3 linked regions of the Canis lupus familiaris genome follow. The protein of the gene in region 2 interacts with the protein of the main gene of each other region in a pairwise test. Links are inferred from orthologs where the notes say so. Each region holds a gene or a part of one and is shown on either strand. Other genes may lie near its edges.

Region 1 (6,257 bases), on a different chromosome or scaffold from region 2:
CCACACCAGGCTCCAGGCTTGGCATGGAATCTACTTAAAATAAGAAAAAAGGAAAAAAGAAAAGAGAAGAAGATCACGTTTTCTAAATCACTGAGTGGAAGCTGTTCAAGGGGTATGGGATCTCAGTTTTGCAAGATGAAAAAAGTGCCAGAGATCTGTTGCCTAACAAAGTGCTTATAGTTAACACCACTGTACCGTACACTGAAAAATGTTTCTGACTGTAAATTTTATGTTATTTACTTTTTAAAAACCACAACAAAAGGAAAATAGAGATTGGATCAGAAGGACCAGCCCTGAGTTGCCAGCTGGGAGGCAGCGCGGCAGCTGTAATATACTTGACAGATGGTCAAGACCTAAACTAAAGGGGGAGACAGAGAACAGATTTAGGAGAATTACAATTCTTAAATTTGTAAGAATCAACAGGATTTGGATGCAAGATTTGACAGATGAGGCAAAGGGATGAGATGAGGGTGGTGCATCAGTCTGGGCGAGTAGATCATGCCCACTGCCACACTGGGGCCCCAGGAGAAGCAGCAGCCACAGGGGAGGGATGTGGGAGCTGTGGGTTAGGGTGCGACTGGAACATGCTAGGGGAAGGGCCCAGGAAGCATCTGGACACCACGACCTGGAGTTCTTGAGACAAATGGTTTCTGACGAAGTAGTTGGAGTGTGTGAAAGGTTGGAGCCTATTAAAATAAGACAGCCTCAGACAGAGGCCCAAGGGACAGCGACAACCCAAGGAAAGACAGGGGAGGGGAGCCCCTCTAGGGTCTGAGAGCAAGTCCGGAGAAATATCAAGGTACGAGTCAGACCAGGGCAGGACCTAGACCAACGATTGTGCTCTAATGGAAGCCAAGGAAAGGTTCTCTTCAGAGGAAAGCGTGGTCAGTGTGGTTGGGCTGGGAAGCCTCAGGTGAGTTGGGAATGTGCTGTCGGTGGGGGTGTGGCGGGGAGATGAGGGTGTTTGGGGGGGAGGATGCTTGAGGCAGGTTACATTCATTCAAGGGCATCACATCCCTCCACCCTGAGCCTCACCAGTCTCTTCTTCATTCATTCACCTTCCGGGCTGGTGCAGCTCAAGGGATGGGTGCCCAGCATTCAGGGGCAGGTGCAGTATGGCCTGGTGATGGTGGGGGCATGCTGGGGTGGAGGGGTTGTGGGAGGTTTACCTAAGAAGTCTTCCTGGGGAAGGAGAGCCAGGGCCAAATGTGGAAACCTTATAAGGTGAGGCTCTTAGCAGAGATGGGGGAACCATCCTGGCAGGGGGACCCCACATATCCTCATGACCCCACAGCTCAGCCAATCTCTCATCCTCAGGAGGGGTCTCTGAGTGATGGGAGAATGTGGAACCATGGCAGCCAGAGGAAATTGTCCTTCCCATGGCCGCTGACAAAAGCCCCCTCATTCAAGGGAGGTCAGATTGGTGGGGCTTGCTCTTTTTTCTTTTCTTTTCTTTTTTTTTTTTTTAAGATTTTATTTATTTATTCATGAGAGACACAGGCAGAGGGAGAAGCAGGCTCCCTGTGGGGAGCTGGATATGGGACTTGATCCCTGGACCCAACCTGGGATCACGCCCTGAGCCAAAGGCAGATGCTCAACCACCGAGGCACCCAGGCGCCCCTGGGCTTGCTCTTTCATCATCATGCATGCATTCATTCATTCCTAATTGATTCCTTTGTTCATGCATTCACTCACTCATTCATTTGTTTGGTCTTTATTAAGCACCACTGCGGTGCTATCCAGCAGCAGGGATGGAAGCAGAATAGGGCACGGTCCTCGCCCACATATGACACACAGAGTGGGGGAGTAGACGGTCACACTCCATAAAGCGTTCCTGGTGCTGTGAAAAATGTCTGTACAGAGTATAGGCAGGGTACAAAGTGGGGAGTGGTCACATCAGGAAAAGCGTGTCAGGAAACGCTTCCAGAGAGGAGCTGACCCTAGTGCCAAGTCCCAGGCAGGGGAGGGAGGGGCACTGGAGACAGCGTGGGGCTACGAGTGGCTGAGCACCGCCAGCAGCCCCTGCGGGAACTGGCAACCCATCCATATTTGGAGGGCCCTTCACGGGTTGAATGAACACCTGAAATGACACCATTCACTCAGCACCAACCTGACCCATGTATTTGTAAAAACACAAACACCTGCTACTATAGGAAACGTAGCACATCCAGTTGCAAGGTGTCCCACTGCCTGATTCAGTCAGATCCCTGGCCTTGGGAAGAGGCTCCTGGGGCTCGTGGCTCTCAGGACGGAGCACAGCCCACCTGCATCCCCCACTCCCCCCCCCGCCCCCCCCCCCCACTGCCCAGCCTTATTATTCTGAACACATGAAGCAGTTAAGGGCGGAGAACTAAAGGTCCTAACTGTCCTGACCCCAAGAAGAGGGTCTGAGGGTCTGTGTCCTTCCCTTCCGACCTCTCAGGAAGGAGCCCGGGTGTAATCTGAGGCCCAACCAGTGACAGACTCAGGCTGAGTGGAGGATGAAAGTTTTACATTTCCTAAATATAATGGTTGCTAAGGGAATTGGTTATTCACAGGTAAAGAGGAGGTTTGATTGCTGCCACCCCCCCACCCAGGAGGCTATTGTTTCCCCATAATACATTTCCTATTTGTGCCCGATTCTCCAGCATTAACATTTCTCTGAGGGTGGTGGGAGGGCTGCCTACAACTGTGCGTATCTCCACGCCTCATGGCCATTGTTGAGACTGAGTTCATCGGCATCTGGGGGGTCTGGGCAGGAAGACCATTGGTGTACGGAACGGGGAGCTTCCTGGAGAGGGAAAGGCATAGATGGGGGAGCTGGGGCACCTCAAAGACCCACTTCAGATTTTGGTCCAGGAATGGTCCTCACCTTCACTGTCGTCAGAGGCACAAAACCGCTTCTGACAGGCATCCTGGGATGGCAGTTCATTTACCCATCTCTCCATCCATCCGTCCGTCCATCCATCCATCCACCTGTCCATCCATCCAGTCAGTCGTTCACCAAACCTGTCTTGTGTAAGACCTCGTGGAACTATGATGAGCTCAGGTCGCTGCTCCTGCACCTGATGCTCCTTGCACACGGCTCACCTTGTACCATCGCTGGGTCCTCCACCGGGGGCAGCTTCTCCAATGGTCCGTGTGCCTGAAGCCCACACTCCCCCTTCAGCCCACTCTTGTTCACAAGCCCTCTTTGACCCCCTCTGTCACCTAGAGTCACTCCTTTCCCTCCCCATCAGTACTGACACTATGCTTCACCCACCACATTACCTCTTCCCACTGACATCTGCGGGACAGCAGCAGCCCTGACGTGCTTTCGTGTTTGTGTTCCTCCGCAGATGTGGACACAGCCCTTCATTAATGCTTCCGGATGAACGAATGAATGGTAGGTAAGCTGTGTCTTTGGCAGGATGACGGCAACCCCAACCAATTCCAAACTTCCTTCAGCAACAGGCAGGGGCGTTAAGAAATGCAGGTGTTCTCCAGTTAGTTTTCCCTAAAGTGTCATGGATTTTCTCCCCTTAAATTGCAAGGATAAGCTCGTGCTCAGCCGCACACAGTTTATTTCCTTCTTTGTTTGGAGTTAGCCGGGATTCAGGAGGCATCTTCTCTGGGCTCAGCCATCGGGGTGCACTAGGGGTCCATGAGACTCTCATACCCTTACGCGGTATGAGTCTTAGAGCACCCCAAGTTTATTCACAACTGCTTCTCACGACAGCCCAATCTTGTCTTGCAGAATTAGAAGTGATGGCTCAGAGAGGTTAAGCCCCCATCCGGGCCTTCCAGCTGTGAGGGCGGGCAGGGCCTCTCTCTTGGGTCCCGGCTCTCCTCCCTCCCCCTCTCCTCCCCCCCAACTCAACCGACAGAGCGGCCCAAGAGAGACGCACTCCCGCCCTGCGTCAGCAGGGCCGAGGGGGGCCATGGCCCTCATCCCCTGGCTTCGCTGGAATGAAGCCCCCCCGCGGCTGTCCCCCCGGAGGCCGGCTGAGATGGTGCTGGAGACGCTCATGATGGAGCTGGCGGGGCAGATGCGGGAGGCCGAGAGGCAGCAATGGGAGCGCAGTAACGCGCTCAGGAAGGTCTGCACCGGCGTGGACTACAGCTGGCTGGCCAGCGCGCCGCGGCCCACCTACGACCTCAGCCCTGGCGAGCGGCTGCAGCTAGAGGACGTCTGTGCCAAGATCCACCCATCCTACTGCGGGCCCGCCATCCTCAGGTAACCCCCACCCCCCTCCCAGGCCAGGCCTTGCACCGCAGGCTGCGGCGGTGTGGCTGCAGGGGCAGGGGCCCGAGGCCCCCAGGACGCGAGCCAGGGCCCCTGGATGACCCAGGGACCTGTAAAAGGAGCGGCACCGCAGGCTGCAGGGGTGTGGCAGCAGGGGCCTGAGGCCCCCAGGATGGCAGCCAGGGCCCCTGGATGACCCAGAGATCTGTAAAAGGAACAGGGCAGAAGCAAGACTCTGCAAGAGCCCATAGAACACCAGGCCAGAGCCGGGGTTCAGAGGGAGGCAGCAGGCAGGAGGCACATGACTTTTGATGGGAGAGGACCCCAGGCCTTTGAGCTTTCTGTTCTCCCTGGATTATCATTGCCCCGGATTTTAACACAGCGGGCTCTTTCTCCTTCGTCGGTTCATCTTCCATATTCCCTTCTTAGAAAGGCTTTCCAGATAGTCTTCCCAGAGTTCAGTCTTCAGTATCCTAGTTCACACTAGCATTCGTATTAGTTTGCCTCAAGGGACTATGCGTGCATGTGTCTGCACATGTGCATAAGTGTGTATGCGGGGTGTTCAGAGCCCTGGGGCACTGAGCATTTAGAGATTTAGAGCTTAGGTACAACAATGTCCCTGAATAAAGCTCTGACCCACGTGCCCCAGTCTTGGTTGGATTCATGTTAAAGTCAGAGAAGTGTAGTCCGACAACCAACAGTAATTTCAAAAGTTATTCGAGGTCTTCTTCATCTGCACCTCTCAAACACTAGTAAAGGGATGCAGATCCACCGTAAAACACCTGAACATGCCTCCAATCTTCAATCACCTATCTCTTTAACCAATGTAAGCATCTATTGTACCTCTTTCTTTCTTGGAAAATCTCCTTAAAACTCCTTCTCCAGTCCTATCCATGCCCCTTTGGATCTTGTAGTCTTTTGCACCCTCCGCCCCCTTTCTTCCTCCAGGCTGAGACTCTTACCCAGTTTCTCTTGTTCCGTCCTATGCAATCCCCGCCCCCCTCAAAGTGTACCTACTTCCAGAAGCACCTGGGGACAGGGGTGGGGTGAGTCCTGGGGGTGGTGCTGATGAGAGAATCCGGGCTGGTAAACCAAACCTCATACATACACACATAGGGTCATGATGGTCCCCTCACATTTCCCGATTCTCCATATGGTGGAGGAAACCAGGTGTTCAAGGGACTTGCTAACCAGCCTCCTTCGTGTGGAGCCCTAGGCAGGCACGTTTGAGGCCCAGGAAATCCTCGCCCAGCGGGTGGCCGGGGCTCTGGAGGGAGTGTGGCAGGTGGCAGGGCGGTCATTGCACAGATACACATTTGCAAGAGACCACTAGGGCCTGCGAGGGGGGGGGGGGCGAGGGAGGGGCCCCCCGGGAAGCCTCACTCGGGGAGGCCCAGGCTCCCCTGACTGCCCCGGCGGCGTCTCACCTGAGATCAGCTCAGCGTCTTTGCAGCCGGTGGCTCCGAACCCCCACGGAGGGCCGCTAGGACCCCGGCTTCCAGGTGAGGAAGCTGCGGCCCAGGGAGGCGGGAGGTGGCGGGCGGGGCGGGGCGGGGCGGGGCGGGGCCGCAGGGGAGGCTCCCGGCAGGGAGGGCGCGGGACCCCCGCCCAGGCGCCCCTCGTCCCGCGCAGGTTCCGGCAGCTGCTGGCCGAGCGCGAGCCCGAGGTGCACGAGGTGTCGCGGCTCTTCCGCTCGGTGCTGCAGGAGGTCCTGGAGCGCGCGCAGCGCGACGCCGCCGCCCGCCCCCGCCCCCGGCCCTGGAGCCTGCGCCCCCCCCGCGCCCCCGCGCTGGACCCCCGCGGGCCCCGCGCGCGCGTCTCGCCCTTCGCCGGCCACATCCGCACCGTCTCCGAGGACGTGGAGCGCGACGCGCCGCCGCTGCGCACCTGGAGCCTGCCCGAGTTCCGGGCGCCGCAGGGGGGCCGCCCCGCCAGCTGAGCACCCCCCCCCGCCCCCGCCCCCGCCCCCGCCCCCGAGCCACGGGAGGGAGCGGGCCTTCCTGCCGCCCGCCCCGCCCACAGGCTCAGGGTTAGGGCTGGCGGCGCGGGGGAG
Region 2 (7,581 bases):
CCTATGAGCTCGTGCTCTCACTCTCTCTGTCTCTATGTCAGGAGTGAATGGTGTGGGCTCCTCAGGCCCTAGTGAGTACATGGAGGTCCCTCTGGGGTCCCTGGAGCTGCCCAGCGAGGGGACCCTCTCCCCCAACCACGCTGGTAATTGCCAATTGCTGGGATGGCGAGCCACTAGGGGGCAGCCTCTGGGCTGGGGGGTACCGGGAGGAGGAGGAGGATCCCACTGGAGCCCAGGTGTCTGTCCTTCCATGGCCAGGCTTTAGGGGTTCTAGAGCATGAGGGAAAAGCAGGGCGGGGGTGAGAGGCCCCACCAGGGGTCCCCATGGGTGATGGGGATGGCCTCGCTCAGCGCCCTTTTCCCTCCGTCCAAGGGATATCCAATGACACGTCTTCACTAGAGACGGAACGGGGGTTTGAGGAGTTGCCCCTCTGCAGCTGCCGCATGGAGGCTCCCAAGATTGACCGCATCAGCGAGAGAGCTGGGCACAAGTGCATGGCCACAGAGAGTGTGGATGGAGAGGTGGGCCTGTGAGCTGATAGGAGAGGTGCCGGCAGTGGGGGGGACCCAGCCCCAGGCCCCAGCCTCACCCTCTTCCTGCCCGTTCACACTGCCACAGCTGTCGGGCTGCAATGCTGCCATCCTCAAACGGGAGACGATGAGGCCATCAAGCCGCGTGGCACTGATGGTGCTCTGTGAGACCCACCGTGCCCGCATGGTCAAACACCACTGCTGCCCCGGCTGTGGCTACTTCTGTACAGCGGTGAGTAACCAGTGGGGCAGACAGGCTGCGTGCCCCATGGGGGAGGGGTCTCCCGGAGCCTGAATGCCTTGTCTTCCAGGGCACGTTCCTGGAGTGCCACCCTGACTTCCGTGTGGCCCACCGCTTCCACAAGGCCTGTGTGTCCCAGCTGAATGGCATGGTCTTCTGTCCCCACTGTGGGGAGGATGCATCTGAGGCCCAGGAGGTGACCATCCCCCGGGGGGATGGGGTGACCCCACCAGCTGGCACTGCAGCCCCTGCCCCCCCACCCCTGGCTCAGGATGCCCCTGGGAGAGCAGACACTTCCCAGCCCAGGTACTGGCCTTCCCATTCCCAACTATCTGTTCCCTGCCCAACACCACTGCTGGTACACATCAGCACCTTCTCCCACAGTGCCCGGATGCGAGGGCATGGGGAGCCCCGGCGCCCACCCTGCGACCCTCTGGCCGACACCATCGACAGCTCAGGGCCCTCCCTGACCCTTCCCAATGGGGGCTGCCTCTCAGCCGTGGGGCTGCCACCGGGTCCAGGCCGCGAGGCCCTGGAGAAGGCCCTGGTCATCCAGGAGTCAGAGAGGTGAATGAGGGGTGGCTCTCAGGCATGGCGATGAGGGCTGGGGCTGAAAGGTGGGTTCCCTTTCTGAGACACCTACCCCTCTCCCTCACCATGGCAGGCGGAAGAAACTCCGTTTCCACCCCCGACAGCTGTACCTGTCAGTGAAACAGGGGGAGCTACAGAAGGTGATCCTGATGCTGTGTGAGTATTCCACTCATTCATTCATTCATTCTGCAGACCTTGATGGAACACCAGACCATACATGCCAGACCCCGGGCCCAGGGCTGGGGGTACAACAGTGAAGGTCATCATCCTTGCCCCGAAACACGGAGCGTGGAGGGGGAGACATACTCACAGATAACCCAGGATGATGGGGACAGTGGTGACGACAAACACGTAGGTGCTGTGTTTATACACATCCACTCACACCAGCCCTGCCAGTGGAAGCCCAGAGAGGTTAACTGCGTTGCCCAGAGGGCCCCCCACCCCACATAGCCTTCCTAGAGGAGGTCCTACCTGCCCCTTAGTCACTTACCACTTGTCCCTCCTTCTTCCGGTATGGCGGGCTCTCCCCACAGTGGACAACCTGGACCCCAACTTCCAGAGCGATCAGCAGAGCAAGCGCACGCCCCTGCACGCGGCCGCCCAGAAGGGCTCTGTTGAGATCTGTCACGTGCTACTGCAGGTCAGCTCGGACCAGGCCCTCTGTCTCGTGGACCAGGCCCTTGCGCCCCCTCTCTTGCCCAGCCCTTCTGTGATGCCAGCCCACATGCCCCCTCCTTACAGGCTGGAGCCAACATCAATGCAGTAGACAAGCAGCAGCGGACCCCGCTAATGGAGGCTGTAGTGAACAACCACTTGGAGGTAGCTCGCTACATGGTGCAGCGTGGCGGCTGTGTCTACAGCAAGGTGTGGTGACCGGGCCAGCTGGGACCTCGGGTCAGAAACAGGGTTTGAGGTGCCAGCAAGGGACTCATCTGCCCACATCTCCCTCAGGAGGAAGATGGCTCCACCTGCCTCCACCATGCAGCCAAAATCGGGAACTTGGAGATGGTCAGCCTGCTGCTCAGCACAGGACAGGTGGACGTCAACGCCCAGGTGAGTGGCCTGGCTGGCTGCCCAGCCAATTTCCTCCGGGCCCCTGGCTCAGCCCTGGCCTTTGTGCCTCCTGTCAGCCCCTGCTGATCTCCAACACTTCCATCACTCTGTTCCAGTCTGTCCCTATTTCTTGCCTTTTCTTCATTTGTATTTTTTTTTCCACTTTTTTCTTGTTTGCTTCTTTCTATGTTTTTGGAATGATCAGTTGCTGCCTTAATCTCTAGGAATGTGTGGCGATGCTTCTTATTACCTCTTAGTGTGTCATATGTTGGGTCTGTTTTAGCCCATTACTGTCATTTTTCAGTCTTTGAACTGTCCTGTGGTTTGTCCAGGAGGAACCCCATGAGCCTGGCTCCTGTGGCTTTTGGTCCCACCCAGCAACTTCTAAGAGCATCCTTACCTCTTAGTACATTTCCTGCCCCAGACTTGATCTACCATTTCTCTAAGGGACTCTGGTTCCTTTAAACAGGAAATGTTTTTTAGAGACGTGGTCTGTGTCCTCAGCAGTGGTTATTGCTATTGGGTTACCATATCCTAGGACTTTCGAGTGGAAAGACCTAAAAAATATGTGCTTTTTGGAAAGAGAAAAATTACTCCACAACTTTGAGCAGTAGACGCTATTAGTCACATGGGGTAGATCAAGAAGCTGAGACCTAGAGACGTTCAGAGACTTAGCCAGGGTCCTGTAACACATGAGGGGTGGAGCAGAGACCCCTGTTCCGAGTCCAGCTCTAGGGCCTGTGCTCTAGACCACGCACTGCTTGGGTAAGCTAGGCCAGCTGCTGGGTGGCCCCGGGCAGGGGACGGCAGCCCCTCACCCTCCTCCCTCTCTCCCGACCCACAGGACAGTGGGGGCTGGACGCCCATTATCTGGGCCGCAGAGCACAAGCACATCGAAGTGATCCGCATGCTGCTGACACGGGGTGCTGACGTCACGCTCACGGACAATGTGAGAGTCTGGTGGGGGTAGGGGAGATGGGGTCTGAGCAGAGAGGAGACTGGGTTCAGGCGCCCACGGCTTAGACCCACCCTCACCCCTCCCACCCACACAGGAGGAAAACATCTGCCTGCACTGGGCTTCCTTCACTGGGAGCGCGGCCATCGCTGAGGTCCTCCTCAACGCCCGCTGCGACCTCCACGCCGTCAACTACCATGGGGACACGCCCCTGCACATCGCAGCACGGGAGAGCTACCACGACTGTGTGCTGTGAGCCCCTGCCTGCCCCGCACCCTGACACCCTGCCGCCGGCTCGGCTCGTGGCCCCAGGCCCCACGGGCTTCCCGTCCCCTCCCAGGTTGTTCCTGTCACGTGGGGCGAACCCGGAGCTGCGGAACAAGGAGGGGGACACAGCGTGGGACCTGACCCCCGAGCGCTCCGATGTGTGGTTTGCGCTGCAGCTCAATCGCAAGCTTCGGCTTGGAGTGGGGAACCGGGCCATCCGCACCGAGAAGATTATCTGTCGGTGAGCCCTCTGTCCCCTCCCCAGGCTCCCCTGAATCCCCAGAGCCAACCCCTAACTAGGATGTCAGATACAGTAAATTAAAAGAGCGTTAAAGGAGGATTTCAGATGACCAGTGCATGTTTTTTTAGTGTTAAGAGCATCCCACATGGCACTGGGGACTTATCTATGGTAAAAAAAAAAAAAAAAAAAAAACTATTTATCTGAAATCCAGTTTTCGTGGGCTGTCCTCTAGTTTATTTGACCACCTTACTCCCCCCACCCCGGTGAGCCCCCAGAACCACCCCCTTCCTCCCACGGCCCCAGGGACCTCTCAGGCCTCTCCTTGCACCTTGTGGACCCCCTCACCCCAGCCCCCATTCCCCTTGTGTCAGGGATGTGGCTCGGGGCTATGAGAACGTGCCCATCCCCTGTGTCAACGGTGTGGACGGGGAACCCTGCCCTGAGGACTACAAGTACATCTCAGAGAACTGCGAGACATCCACCATGAACATCGACCGTAACATCACCCACTTGCAAGTGAGCTGCCAAGCACAGCTGGGCAAGTTGTGGGCCAACGAGCCACCTGGCCAGGGGAGTGGGGCTGGAAGGGACCTTGGGGGTGGGCCTGCATCCACTTGGGAGAGGGGTCCTTTCTTTAGGACACATGAAGGTCTACGGGCTCATGTTGGCCCTGGGTACCCCTGTAATTAGCATTTTGAATCCCCCTCATCCTGGGACCATCAGCCCCCACTGTTCTAAAGCAGTGATCTTAGAGAAAGGACAGTGGTTAGGGGTCAGGGAGCACTGTGGGGATAGGGCTGCTTCTGAGGATCGGGCTAACCCCCTGCCTCCTGCGCCAGCACTGCACCTGTGTGGACGACTGCTCCAGCTCCAACTGCCTCTGTGGCCAGCTGAGCATCCGCTGCTGGTATGACAAGGTGCGTGTGCTTGCCCCATCCAAGCCGCCTGTCCCTCTCTTCCTCCCTCATGAAAAGAGGGCAGGGCAAAGCAGGGGTTGTGGGGAGGGTGCTAGGGGGAGATGGGCCTGTGCCAGCTGCATGCAAATTAAGGGCTTGATGGGGTTCCTGTTGTCTGAGCTCCACATGTGTGGCCTCCCCAGCCTGTCCTCCCTCTCTGGTGGGTTGGGATCCGTGGTGGATTTTTCTGGGGGTTCCTTGGCAGTCGAGGTGGGCACCAGATAGAAACCACTTACTCTCCCCACCCTCAACCCCAGGACGGGCGGCTGCTCCAGGAATTTAACAAGATTGAGCCCCCACTGATTTTCGAGTGTAATCAGGCTTGCTCCTGCTGGAGAAACTGCAAGAACCGGGTGGTGCAGAGCGGCATCAAGTGAGGACCCCTCCTGCAGCCTGCCCTCACCCCCCCACCCCTGTGCCCCTCAAATGGGGGCTTTCCAGGTCCCTCCACCTAACACCACCCTCCCTCCCCACCCCCAGAGTGCGACTGCAGCTCTACCGAACAGCCAAGATGGGCTGGGGGGTCCGCGCCCTGCAGACCATCCCCCAGGGGACCTTCATCTGCGAGTGAGTAGGGGTCAGGGGGTCGGTGCCTAGCCACAGCTGACTCCCAGGTCTCCCTTGGCTCTCCTCCCTGGTGGGCCTGCCCCTTCACTGCACCTGCCCCCAGCCCACACAGACCGCAGAGCCTGATAGCCTCCTGCCACCACTGCAACATCTCCCCTCCCCTGCCCTGCCTTTCCAAGCCTGGAGACCTACAGACCCAGGTTTGAGCTGTGCTCTGCCACTGGGAATCCTTGGCCAAGTTCTTAGCCTGCTTGAGCTTCATTTTTTTTTTTTTTTTTTTTGTCTCCAAAATGGAGGTAATGATGCGGCCTTTCTGTCCATCTCTGTACGGGCCTTGCTTCTGTCCAGCAATTCTTTCTTTTCCCAGCATCTGTCACCCCGTCCGTCACCTGGCTCCTCCTCCACGGCTCAGTCTTCATCTAGGCCCCCCTTCAGCCCCATTTGCCTATTTAAGGGGCCTCCATCTCTTTATTGGACCATCTCTCAACTTTGTTCAAATGGCCCCTTCCTCCTGGGCCTCAGGCTCCCCACCACCCACTCACTGCTCATCCTTGCCAGAATCTGCCTCTGCCCTCACCCTCCTGCCAGTGCTGCCTCCCAACTACCCGTGCCTTGCCCTGCATCTTGGTCCTCGCTTTGGCTCCCACGACGCTGTCCTCACGTCAGTCCCATGCATCCCTCTTCTTCACCGGCTTCTTTTCCTCTGCTTTCTAAGTGTGGGTGTCCCTGTCCCCAGCTCCTTCCTGGCATTTCTCATGGCCCCCATGGCTCCATCCCTTCCCGCAGCCCTGACACCTCTCCTGTCCTGTCGCCTGGCATCGCTACCACCTGCTGGGTGGTTCCTAGTCCACAGACCTGCCAGGGATTAAACTCACATGGATTTCCCCACCCACACCACATGCCCACAGATACTGAGCCACAGGGGCTCACTGATCTTCCTCTGGCGCAGCTCTGGCCCTTCCCTTTACCTTTCCCTGGCTGCTTCTCCAGCTCATCCCTGGCCTACTGGCCCCCAGCTTCCCCCACATTCGCTGGTCCTGCCTGTTGGTGCAGCTGTCCGTGGAGACCATAGCTGACAGGAGTACACTCTGCGTTGTCCCCTCCCGTGCTGTGTCCCTGTTCCTCCTGCTTCTCACTCTCGGGGCGGGGGGGGGGGGGGCGTCCTCCTCCCCCATCCCATGACATCTGGAGTCGGCTGTCCTCCATGCCCACCAACACCCGCCCATACAGATCTGTGGGGTTCATGGGCACAGACCAGGGCAGCTGACATGTGGTGGAAGAGGGTCCCATGGGGTCATGAGGAGAGACAGGGCCTGGAGCCAGCTCTGGATAATCCCTGCTCACCTTCGGAACCGCCACTTCCTGCCCAATAGGTATGTCGGGGAGCTAATCTCTGATGCTGAGGCTGATGTGAGAGAGGATGATTCTTACCTCTTCGACTTAGACAACAAGGTGGGCAAGAAATTCCTCTGTCCTTCACACCCAGTGGGCAGACAGAAGCCTGGGGAGGAGGGCCTGGGTGGTCTGTGGGTGGGGCAGCTGGCCAGGCAGGCAGGGCAGTGGCGAGTATGAAGAGTGCCGCCCTCCCCTCAGGATGGAGAGGTGTACTGCATCGATGCCCGTTACTATGGCAACATCAGCCGCTTCATCAACCACCTGTGTGACCCCAACATCATCCCCGTCCGGGTCTTCATGCTTCACCAAGACTTGCGCTTTCCACGCATTGCCTTCTTCAGCTCCCGAGACATCCGGACTGGGGAGGAGCTGGGGTGAGGTGTCCATGCTGTGTGTGGGGGTGTGGTGAGAGAGGCAGGCCACTTGGGGCCCGAAGCCCAAGGCTGGAGAGGGTCTGGCTTCTAGGCGTGAATAAGGGCAGAGCCTCCCAGACAGTGCAAACGGAATCCTGAGCCAGAGCTAAGCTCCTGCACGTGTAACAAGGCCACCGGCAGGGCCAGTACTGCAGGTCCTAGAGCCTGTCGGGAGGAGATGGGGTGGGTGCTCTGGACGGGCCTGTGCTGCCGGCCCTGCACCCCACAGCGTCCCATGCCCCTCCAACAGCTTCGACTACGGTGACCGCTTCTGGGACATCAAGAGCAAGTATTTCACATGTCAGTGCGGCTCAGAGAAGTGCAAGCACTCGGCCGAGGCCATCGCCCTGGAACAGAGCCGCCTGGCCCGC
Region 3 (7,581 bases), on a different chromosome or scaffold from region 2:
AAGAAAATAATCAAGTGTGTGGAGTTAAGAGGCTGTCGTACATTTACAATTTAATGAAATAAAGAGAAAAGGCAGGGAGGAGACGGTACCCTCCAAGTGGGTTGGGGGGAGGCTCCATCCTGGTCCCTTCCCTTGGTCCCAGACCCGACCCGAACCCAGGGGTTGGGGGCCACCGATGCCGTCTCGCCTAGGCCGCCCCCAGGCACAGAGGAGGGCGTGGGGACCCCGGAGGGCTGCCCACCGGGCACCCCGGCCTGCACCCTCTCCCGGCCACTGGCAGTGGGTCCTTGACGTCAGGGTGTCCTGTGAGGTCCTGCTCAGCCCTGCGGGCACCTGATGCATGAGAGAGGGAAGGTTTGGAGCAGTCGCTCCTCTGCTCTGCCCTGGGGTCAGCATCCTGGGCAGAGGTGCAGCTTGGTGGAGGGTCTGGAGGCCAGTGACACGCGTGTGGCTCTGGGCCTGTCCCCAGGCTGGAGGAGGAGATGATGCAGCCCTTAAAGGGCCAGCACATGGAGGACGCACGCAGTGCCCGGGGCTTCGCCCAAGAAGCTCTGGGCGGTTCCAGCCTTTCTGAGCTCAGGCTGCACACGGCGCCCTGAGAACACCCTTGACCCGCCTCCTTTGGATGTCTGGACTCTTGCCCTGGCTCTTGCTGCCTTCTCCCTGCACCCTCCGACCCCTGGGGTGAGGGGGCTTCGAGGTGGGGGGACAGATCCCACCGCTCCCACGTTTCCACCTGTCCTCCGCCCACAGTGGCCAGCTGGACAGGTGCAGGCCCCACGGCCAAAGCCGGAGGTGCGACTCCAGCCCAAGAGTCCTGGGGGGCCTCAGACACCAGAGCCTCAGCTCACAGCATCGTGGCGGGGACCGTGGCCGTGGTGGCCTGCAGGCTCTGGGTGGCCACAGAGAACAGACCCCGGGGGCAGCTCCAAACGCCTCTGTCCTCGGACCTGCGACCCTCTGTGCCCGTCCAGTCCAGGCCCCCCAGTCTCGGTCCTGGCGAGGGACCGAGATTTCAGACGGGGACACTGGGGCAGGTCCTTTGGGGTGGTGGGGGAAGGGGGTGAGAGGAGGGGGCCCTGCGAACCCTCCTGTTAAAGGGAACTTACAATGTTCGGGACGCTGTCTCAGGAATCGTGACCCGGTGCCCGCTGGTGCTGAAGCTGAAGAGGGATCCGCACAAGGCGTGGAGGGGGAGGATCAGCTACCGCAAGACGGAGCTGCAGTTCCAGGACCCCTCCCAGGTGGAGAAGGAGATCCGCCAAGGTAGGAGGCCCGGGTTTCTGCAGGTGCGGCTCCGGGGCCGCTCGCTCCCCGTCCTGGCCTCTTCTCTGCCTCCTGGTCCTCGGGCTTCTTGGTCCCCACCAGCGAGCCTGCTGCCTTTCCTTCCAGGCTCTTCCACGGGCTGCTCCTCCTGCCTCGCACACTGCCCCCTCCTGCGGGAAGTGCCCCCCGCAGGACTCCCTGCTGTCCTGGTCACCGCTGTCCCGCTGTCCCGAGGCCCTGCTCTGGAGAGCATAAAAGCGCATTATTAAGCCAGGAGGAGGCCTTTCGGAATGCGGGATGGGGTGAGGGGTCCTGTGACTGGTAACAAACACAGCTTGCGAGGGCGAGGCCTTCCCGTCACTCCCCGGAGCTCAGCTCCCCGAGAATCCCATGTCCCAGGGCCTCAGATGGCTCAGCAGAGGGATTTCATCCAAAGGGCAGACATCCTGCCCCCAATTCCTGTGCTCACCCCTGAATGTAGATGACCACCCCCAGGGCTCTTGCAGCCCTGATACTCCAGGCCTCACTGCCTGTTCCACGGGGCTCTGGGGCTCACTCCAAGAAGTGGAGGAGGCAGGGAGGTGGTGAGGACAGAGGCCACCCTCGGGGACAAGGCCAGGGGACTGGGGAGCATTGTCCTTATGTCTCCATGCTCCCCCCCGAGTGGGTGACCAGCAACCCCTATGTCCTTGGCATGTGTGTCCCACAAATCCTGATATTCACCATCGAAACCTCCCCTCCCCTAGACCATCCATCTCAGTTCTGATTTCCCCAAGCCGTCTAGCCCCCGGCCCCTCGGTGTGGCCCCCGATCTGCAGCAGCAACACTGCCTGGGGGCTCATTGGCCCTGCAGTCTCCGGGAGACACCCCAGACCTGCCAGGTCAGGACCTGGACTTTAACCAGGCTCCCAGATGGGCCACACGCACGCGGAGTGCGAGAACCCGTGCCCAGAGCATGGCCACCTGCGTGACTGGGGGGCCCAGCGCAGTCATCCTGCAAGACCCCTCGGTTCAGAATCACTAAGAATTTCAAGACCGTGAAAGCAGATTAGTAAACCAGGAGGGGACCCTTCCGAACTCAGGGCTCCCCCGTGACCGCTCGGGCCCCATGTGCATGAAGCAGGGGCTGGCTCTGAGGTGTGTGCCCAAGACATCTTAGCTGGTCCCTTGTCGTGGTTGTGAAGTTGACAGCCTGTGGGAAGACTCCAGCGTCCCTACAGGGGGCTGCTCCCAGGAAGGGGCAAGATACCCTTGGTGTGTCTGGTGGCCGCTACCTGCCCGAGGGATGTCACTGTGAGTGACAGGCAAGCCAGGTGCATGCACAGCGGGGCACCTGGGGAGTGATGGGGGGAGTGGGGCGGGGGAGACATGCTCAGCTCTGCCTCCATGTCCTCCTTCCGGCCTTGGGATGTGCTCTGCGAAGCCCTGGGGTGGAGATCCCCAGGATCCCCATCTGCATGTCACTTCTCGGCACACTGAGCCTCGGCTTGCAGGGGTGCTGGAAGCTCCCCATCGATGGCACTGAGGGGCCCTCTTTGCTGACACTTGAGTTTTCATTACAACTGTGTGTGCCTTCGGACATCGGACCCAGGGACCCTGTCCACCCATTGGCCACGCTCTGGGAGGGCGGAAACCGTCCTCTTGCACCAGCAGAGCTCGAGGCCAGCTCAAAAAGAAAAATTCGTTCTGTCTTTGAACCCTATTACCTCTACGGGGGTGCTTGGTGTCCTCAGGACAGGTGAGCTTCCCCCAGGGTAAGCCACGCCAGAGAAAGCAGGCGGCGGTCACGATGTACTTATTGCTGGTCACACACCACGCCATCATTTCCACCCTATCTATCTTTAGGCGGAGGTCCCTATGTCCAGCCCCCATGCAGGGCTTCACCGTTTGGAGGGAAGAGTGGGGAAGAATTTGTGGAAATTATTAACACTCACAGGAAAATATTAAAAAGCATAAAGAGAGAGACTAGAACCCATCCGTATCCCGTTGTGAACATATTGGTATGTTTTCCTCCAGACTTTCAGGGAGGCTGATGTGTTCAATAGCCCCCGAAGTGGCCCCAGAGACCCCTACAACTGCTATTCCTCCGACAGGTCATTAACCTGGACTCTGGGTTTCCCCTCTCTTGGCCTCCACAGCTCAGAACATCATAGCTGGGCAGGGACTTGGCATCAGCCATGAGCTCATCAGTCTTGAGATCACCTCCCCTGAGGTCCCCGATCTGACCCTCATTGACCTCCCCGGCATCACCAGGGTGGCTGTGGGAAATCAGCCCCAGGACATCGGAGTGCAGGTAGGCCTTCTGGAACTTGGGAATGGGCCAAGCTGAAGATGGGGAGACTTCTGGGTCTTCGTGGGGAGCCCCGGGGGCTTTGGACTGCCTCCCTTGTGGTGTTGGTTGACCGGAGACGTACGCACTCTTCCTTTGTGTCGTTTGGTTTTTGTTGTTGTTTTTTGGTATCAGATCAAGGCACTCATCAAGAATTACATCCAGAAGCAAGAGACGATCAACCTGGTGGTGGTCCCCTGCAACGTGGACATCGCCACCACGGAGGCGCTGAGCATGGCTCAGGAGGTGGACCCCAATGGAGACAGGACCATAGGTAAGAAGACAGAACCAAGCTTCCAGAGGATGGGAGGGAGGGGGAGCCTTCTTATATATTTAGAAGGTCCTAGAATCTAGCACTATTAGAGGCAAGTGCTGTTCCCAGCAGGAGCTCCGTGGGCTCAGGGTGCATTCACACACCACGGGTGGGTATCTCCACCCACAGCCAGGGTTAGATGCATGGCCAGAATTTGGAGGTTCTCCACCCTCCTTCCTCTCGTCCCCCGTTTGCATTCACAAACCATTCCGGATGTGGGGCAAGAACTGCCTTATCTGTTTCCCACAACGGTTGGGAAAGGAGAAAGAGCCTGGCCCACCAGCTCCGCCATTCCGCAGGTAAGGTTGTTGCCACCTGACGTGGAAAAGACCTTCCTACAGACCTCAGTGGACATTCTACTGGGCTGATGTTGGGGTGCCGGAGTCTGCAGGATTTGTATTCAAGCAGAACTCTTCGCGGGGAGCTAGGTTCTCTTAAATTTCTTTAAAAAAAAAAAAAAGTCACCCTAGAAGGCATTACAGGGAACTCGGTTTAAGAGTGCGCACTGTCTGGGGTTCAAATCCTTAATCTAGCACCTACTGGCTGTGTATCCTTGGGTAATATATTTAACCTCTCCTGGCCTCACTGTCTTCATCCATGAAATGGGACTAACAGTCCTAAGTGCTGGGTGGTTGGGAGGACTCCATGAAGATGGTACTCAGGTCTGGGCACGTAGAGTTTTCTCAGCAACTGATAGCTGCTATTTCTTTATTAGTGATATTATCACTCAGCATCACTTCTTCACCGATCATCCCGCCTACCCAGAGAGCTGACCCTCCTGCAGATTTGCAGGTCATTCCCCTGACTAAACGCATACTCGGCTTATAATTGCCTTTCCTGCGCCTTCCCAAATAAAGGCCTGGTTTTCCAGTAAGGTTGGAAATGAATATGAGGGGCACACACCTCATGAATAATGTTTCACTCTACGCTAGACCACGCTTGTGCCCCGTTCTCTGTCAACTTCTCCAAGCATCACCAACACACCGCACCAGAGAGAACACTCAGGCTTTGGGTCACCCCGGTCATTGTAGGGCCCACGCTCTTTGTCCTCTCTCAATCCTAGGTCAGGAGGGATGGCTCACCGATGGCCACGGTAGGTAACATCATCGGTTTAGTAGGGTCAGCTAGCTGGATATTAGTATCTTTACAGGAGGGCGGCGACTGGGAGTTAGTGGATGAATGCGGAGTTTCAGTTCTGCAAGAAGAAAACCAATCCTGGCAGAGGGGGTTGCACAACAATGAGTAACTGGATGCCACTGAACTGTTCCCTTTCAAATGGCCCAAACGGTCGCTTTGATGTTACGCGGACTTTGCCACAATTTTTAAAGACACACAGTTGTTTAAAAACAGGATAACTGAAGGTGGAGTGAAGGAGGAAGCATCCTATTCTCATTAGTTGAGTTGTTCTCCTGCCCCCACGCGTTAGGTGTATTTTGCCACAATTTTTTAAAAAGAGAGCCGAATGACTATCTATACCGTACTTCCAAAGGGTGAAAACAGAACAAGTGTGACCACCACCGTAGCAGTGGTTTACATGACACCAAGCTTCGGGAAGGACTGTGAGCCAGGATGTTCGCAGGTGGTCCGCGAGGCGGGTCCTCCACCTTCCACTGCTAAGTGCACATTGTCTACTCGGCCCACTCCGGTGGGACTCCTGTGGCCACCATGGCACACAGGTGGCATTTGTTAAGGTCACCGATGCCCTCCATGCCAACAAACCTGCCGTCGCTCCTCAGTCCCCATCTTTCTCCACCTCGGACACGGTCAGACGGCTCACCACTGCTTCCTTCTTGCCATCTCTCCATCCTTCGCCTTAACGCACAGCCTCTTGGCTTCAGGGTCACGACGCGTGCTCCGTCTCCTCCTTCACCGGCCACCGGACGTCACATTCTTAGTCTTGTCCGGGTGTCTCTTCATTTCTCTGACCTCGAAATATCGGAAACCCAAAACTTGCTTCGGAGATCTCCCCTCTATCACACGTGCTCCTTAGGCGAGCTGATCCGGCCACGGCTTTGAGTCCGTCTGTATGCTGGCAACTCCCAGATCTAAATTTGTGACCCTTACCTTTCCCTAGGCTTGATGTCTCCACTTGGATGTCTATTAAATGTCTCCAGGGTAATGTGACCACAACACAACCCCCGATACCCCGCGCTTCCTCAATTCATCTCTCTCCCATGGCTTCTCCACCTCACTCACAGCACCACACCTGCCAGTTCTAGAGCCAAGTCTGACTCACACGTGACTCCTCCTTCCCCCGCTTCCATGGCTAATTCAGCTGGAGTCCTGGTGACTGTCTCCAAAACTAATACCAAGTCTGTCCACTGCTCTCCATCTGCATAGTCACCACTAGACCAGGCCCCCATCATCTCTTGCCTGGGCGACTCACACCTCTTCCTATAGTCTCCAGGCACTCACCTTGCCCACAGTGCACCCTCCACTGGTTTTTAAATAGGTAAACAAAGTCAGGCCCCTCCTCTGCTTCTACACTAATGTTACCACCTCACATCCATAAACCATAAACCCAAAGCCTTCCGTGACCTGGCTCCCTATGCCTCTCTGATCGTGGTTGTCATCGCTTCTGCTTTGCCCACTGGTCTCCATTGTAGCTGTCGTCTCCAGGGCCTGGACTGCTCTTTCTGCATCCTCGCAGGGCTGGCTCCTTCCTCTCCTGCAGATCTCAGCTTGCCTTGTCCACCCAACCCAACACTGCACCATGCCCCCCTGCCTGCACTCGTTGACCAACACATGACTGGATTTTAACTCTCTGCCTAGCACTTCTCAATATCAGATACTTTCTCTTTGTTTCTTGTATATTACTGGACTAATTTATGTGGCTTTTACCCACTAGAAGGTGAGAGGATAGCCACGAAATTAGAGACTTGCAGTCTTGTTCACTGCCACTTTCTCAATACCTAAAGCAGTGTACTTAATAAGCATTTTTAAAATTCAATAGGAATATGTAATCTACTCAGGAAAGAGTTTAAACAGAAGAAAACTAAGGCATCTAAAAGTTATTGACAGTGCCTTTCTCCATGGCCCAGGAGTTGGGACCCTAGGTGATGCTCATGTGCGGAGGCTGTCGATGGAGGCATGAGATTTTCCCTGCTTGAGTTCTTGGCTTCAAACTGAGACACTGGGTGAGAAGACCCCCTGACTCCAGAGAGGGGGAGAACTCATTGCAAGCCTCACTCTTTATTATCTGCCTAGTTTATCTCAGAATATAGTTCAGCGATCTAGGCTTTCCTGAATGACCGCTGGCTCCAAGGAGGGGTCCTCTCCTCTACTGATGGAAGGTTGCAGGTGCAGGTTCAGAGACCTGTCGGCTCCTGTGGGAACACGACGGTCTGTGTGCACACAAATCTTTTAATGAACGTAAGCTATGCTCTTAATGACAACCTTTGGTAATAGGAAGGCAAAACAGAAGAGAGAGAGAGAGAGAGAGAGAGAGAGAGAGAGAGAAGTTCAACTGCTTGGGTGCCAGGAAGGTTTCAGGAAATGAGAGACCAGATGGCCAGACTTAACCACAAATCAAAAACAAGGACAAAGATAGTAGAAGATGACATTAGATTTCCACCCTAAACAGACAAAAAAAAAAAAAAAAAAACCCAAAAAAAAAACAAAACAAAACAAAAAACACAACGTAGTGGCAATCTGACACCTCCAGAACACAAAT

Evidence for each region. The genes of interacting proteins can lie anywhere in the genome.
Region 1: the proteins of EHMT2 (region 2) and RD3 interact in binary tests that used the Homo sapiens proteins (3 or more experiments, as listed by UniProt). The two-hybrid records come from large-scale screens. The link is inferred for Canis lupus familiaris from reciprocal best matches to the Homo sapiens genes EHMT2 and RD3.
Region 3: the proteins of EHMT2 (region 2) and MX2 interact in binary tests that used the Homo sapiens proteins (3 or more experiments, as listed by UniProt). The two-hybrid records come from large-scale screens. The link is inferred for Canis lupus familiaris from reciprocal best matches to the Homo sapiens genes EHMT2 and MX2.

What each region holds. Positions count from the first base shown.
Region 1 is NC_049228.1:9,728,823-9,735,079, reverse strand, and holds the end of RD3 (protein RD3), read left to right. Parts: intron 1-3,317; 5' UTR 3,318-3,364; intron 3,365-3,715; 5' UTR 3,716-3,899; coding exon 3,900-4,195; intron 4,196-5,836; coding exon 5,837-6,143; downstream 6,144-6,257.
Region 2 is NC_049233.1:1,474,881-1,482,461, reverse strand, and holds part of EHMT2 (histone-lysine N-methyltransferase EHMT2), read left to right. Parts: intron 1-41; coding exon 42-143; intron 144-373; coding exon 374-522; intron 523-619; coding exon 620-763; intron 764-842; coding exon 843-1,078; intron 1,079-1,156; coding exon 1,157-1,339; intron 1,340-1,436; coding exon 1,437-1,519; intron 1,520-1,896; coding exon 1,897-2,003; intron 2,004-2,104; coding exon 2,105-2,227; intron 2,228-2,314; coding exon 2,315-2,416; intron 2,417-3,260; coding exon 3,261-3,365; intron 3,366-3,468; coding exon 3,469-3,623; intron 3,624-3,711; coding exon 3,712-3,879; intron 3,880-4,250; coding exon 4,251-4,395; intron 4,396-4,718; coding exon 4,719-4,796; intron 4,797-5,092; coding exon 5,093-5,208; intron 5,209-5,315; coding exon 5,316-5,402; intron 5,403-6,775; coding exon 6,776-6,854; intron 6,855-6,995; coding exon 6,996-7,171; intron 7,172-7,460; coding exon 7,461-7,581. UniProt on the Homo sapiens protein: Histone methyltransferase that specifically mono- and dimethylates 'Lys-9' of histone H3 (H3K9me1 and H3K9me2, respectively) in euchromatin.
Region 3 is NC_049252.1:35,747,723-35,755,303, forward strand, and holds part of MX2 (interferon-induced GTP-binding protein Mx2), read left to right. Parts: intron 1-1,131; coding exon 1,132-1,266; intron 1,267-3,404; coding exon 3,405-3,559; intron 3,560-3,730; coding exon 3,731-3,869; intron 3,870-7,581.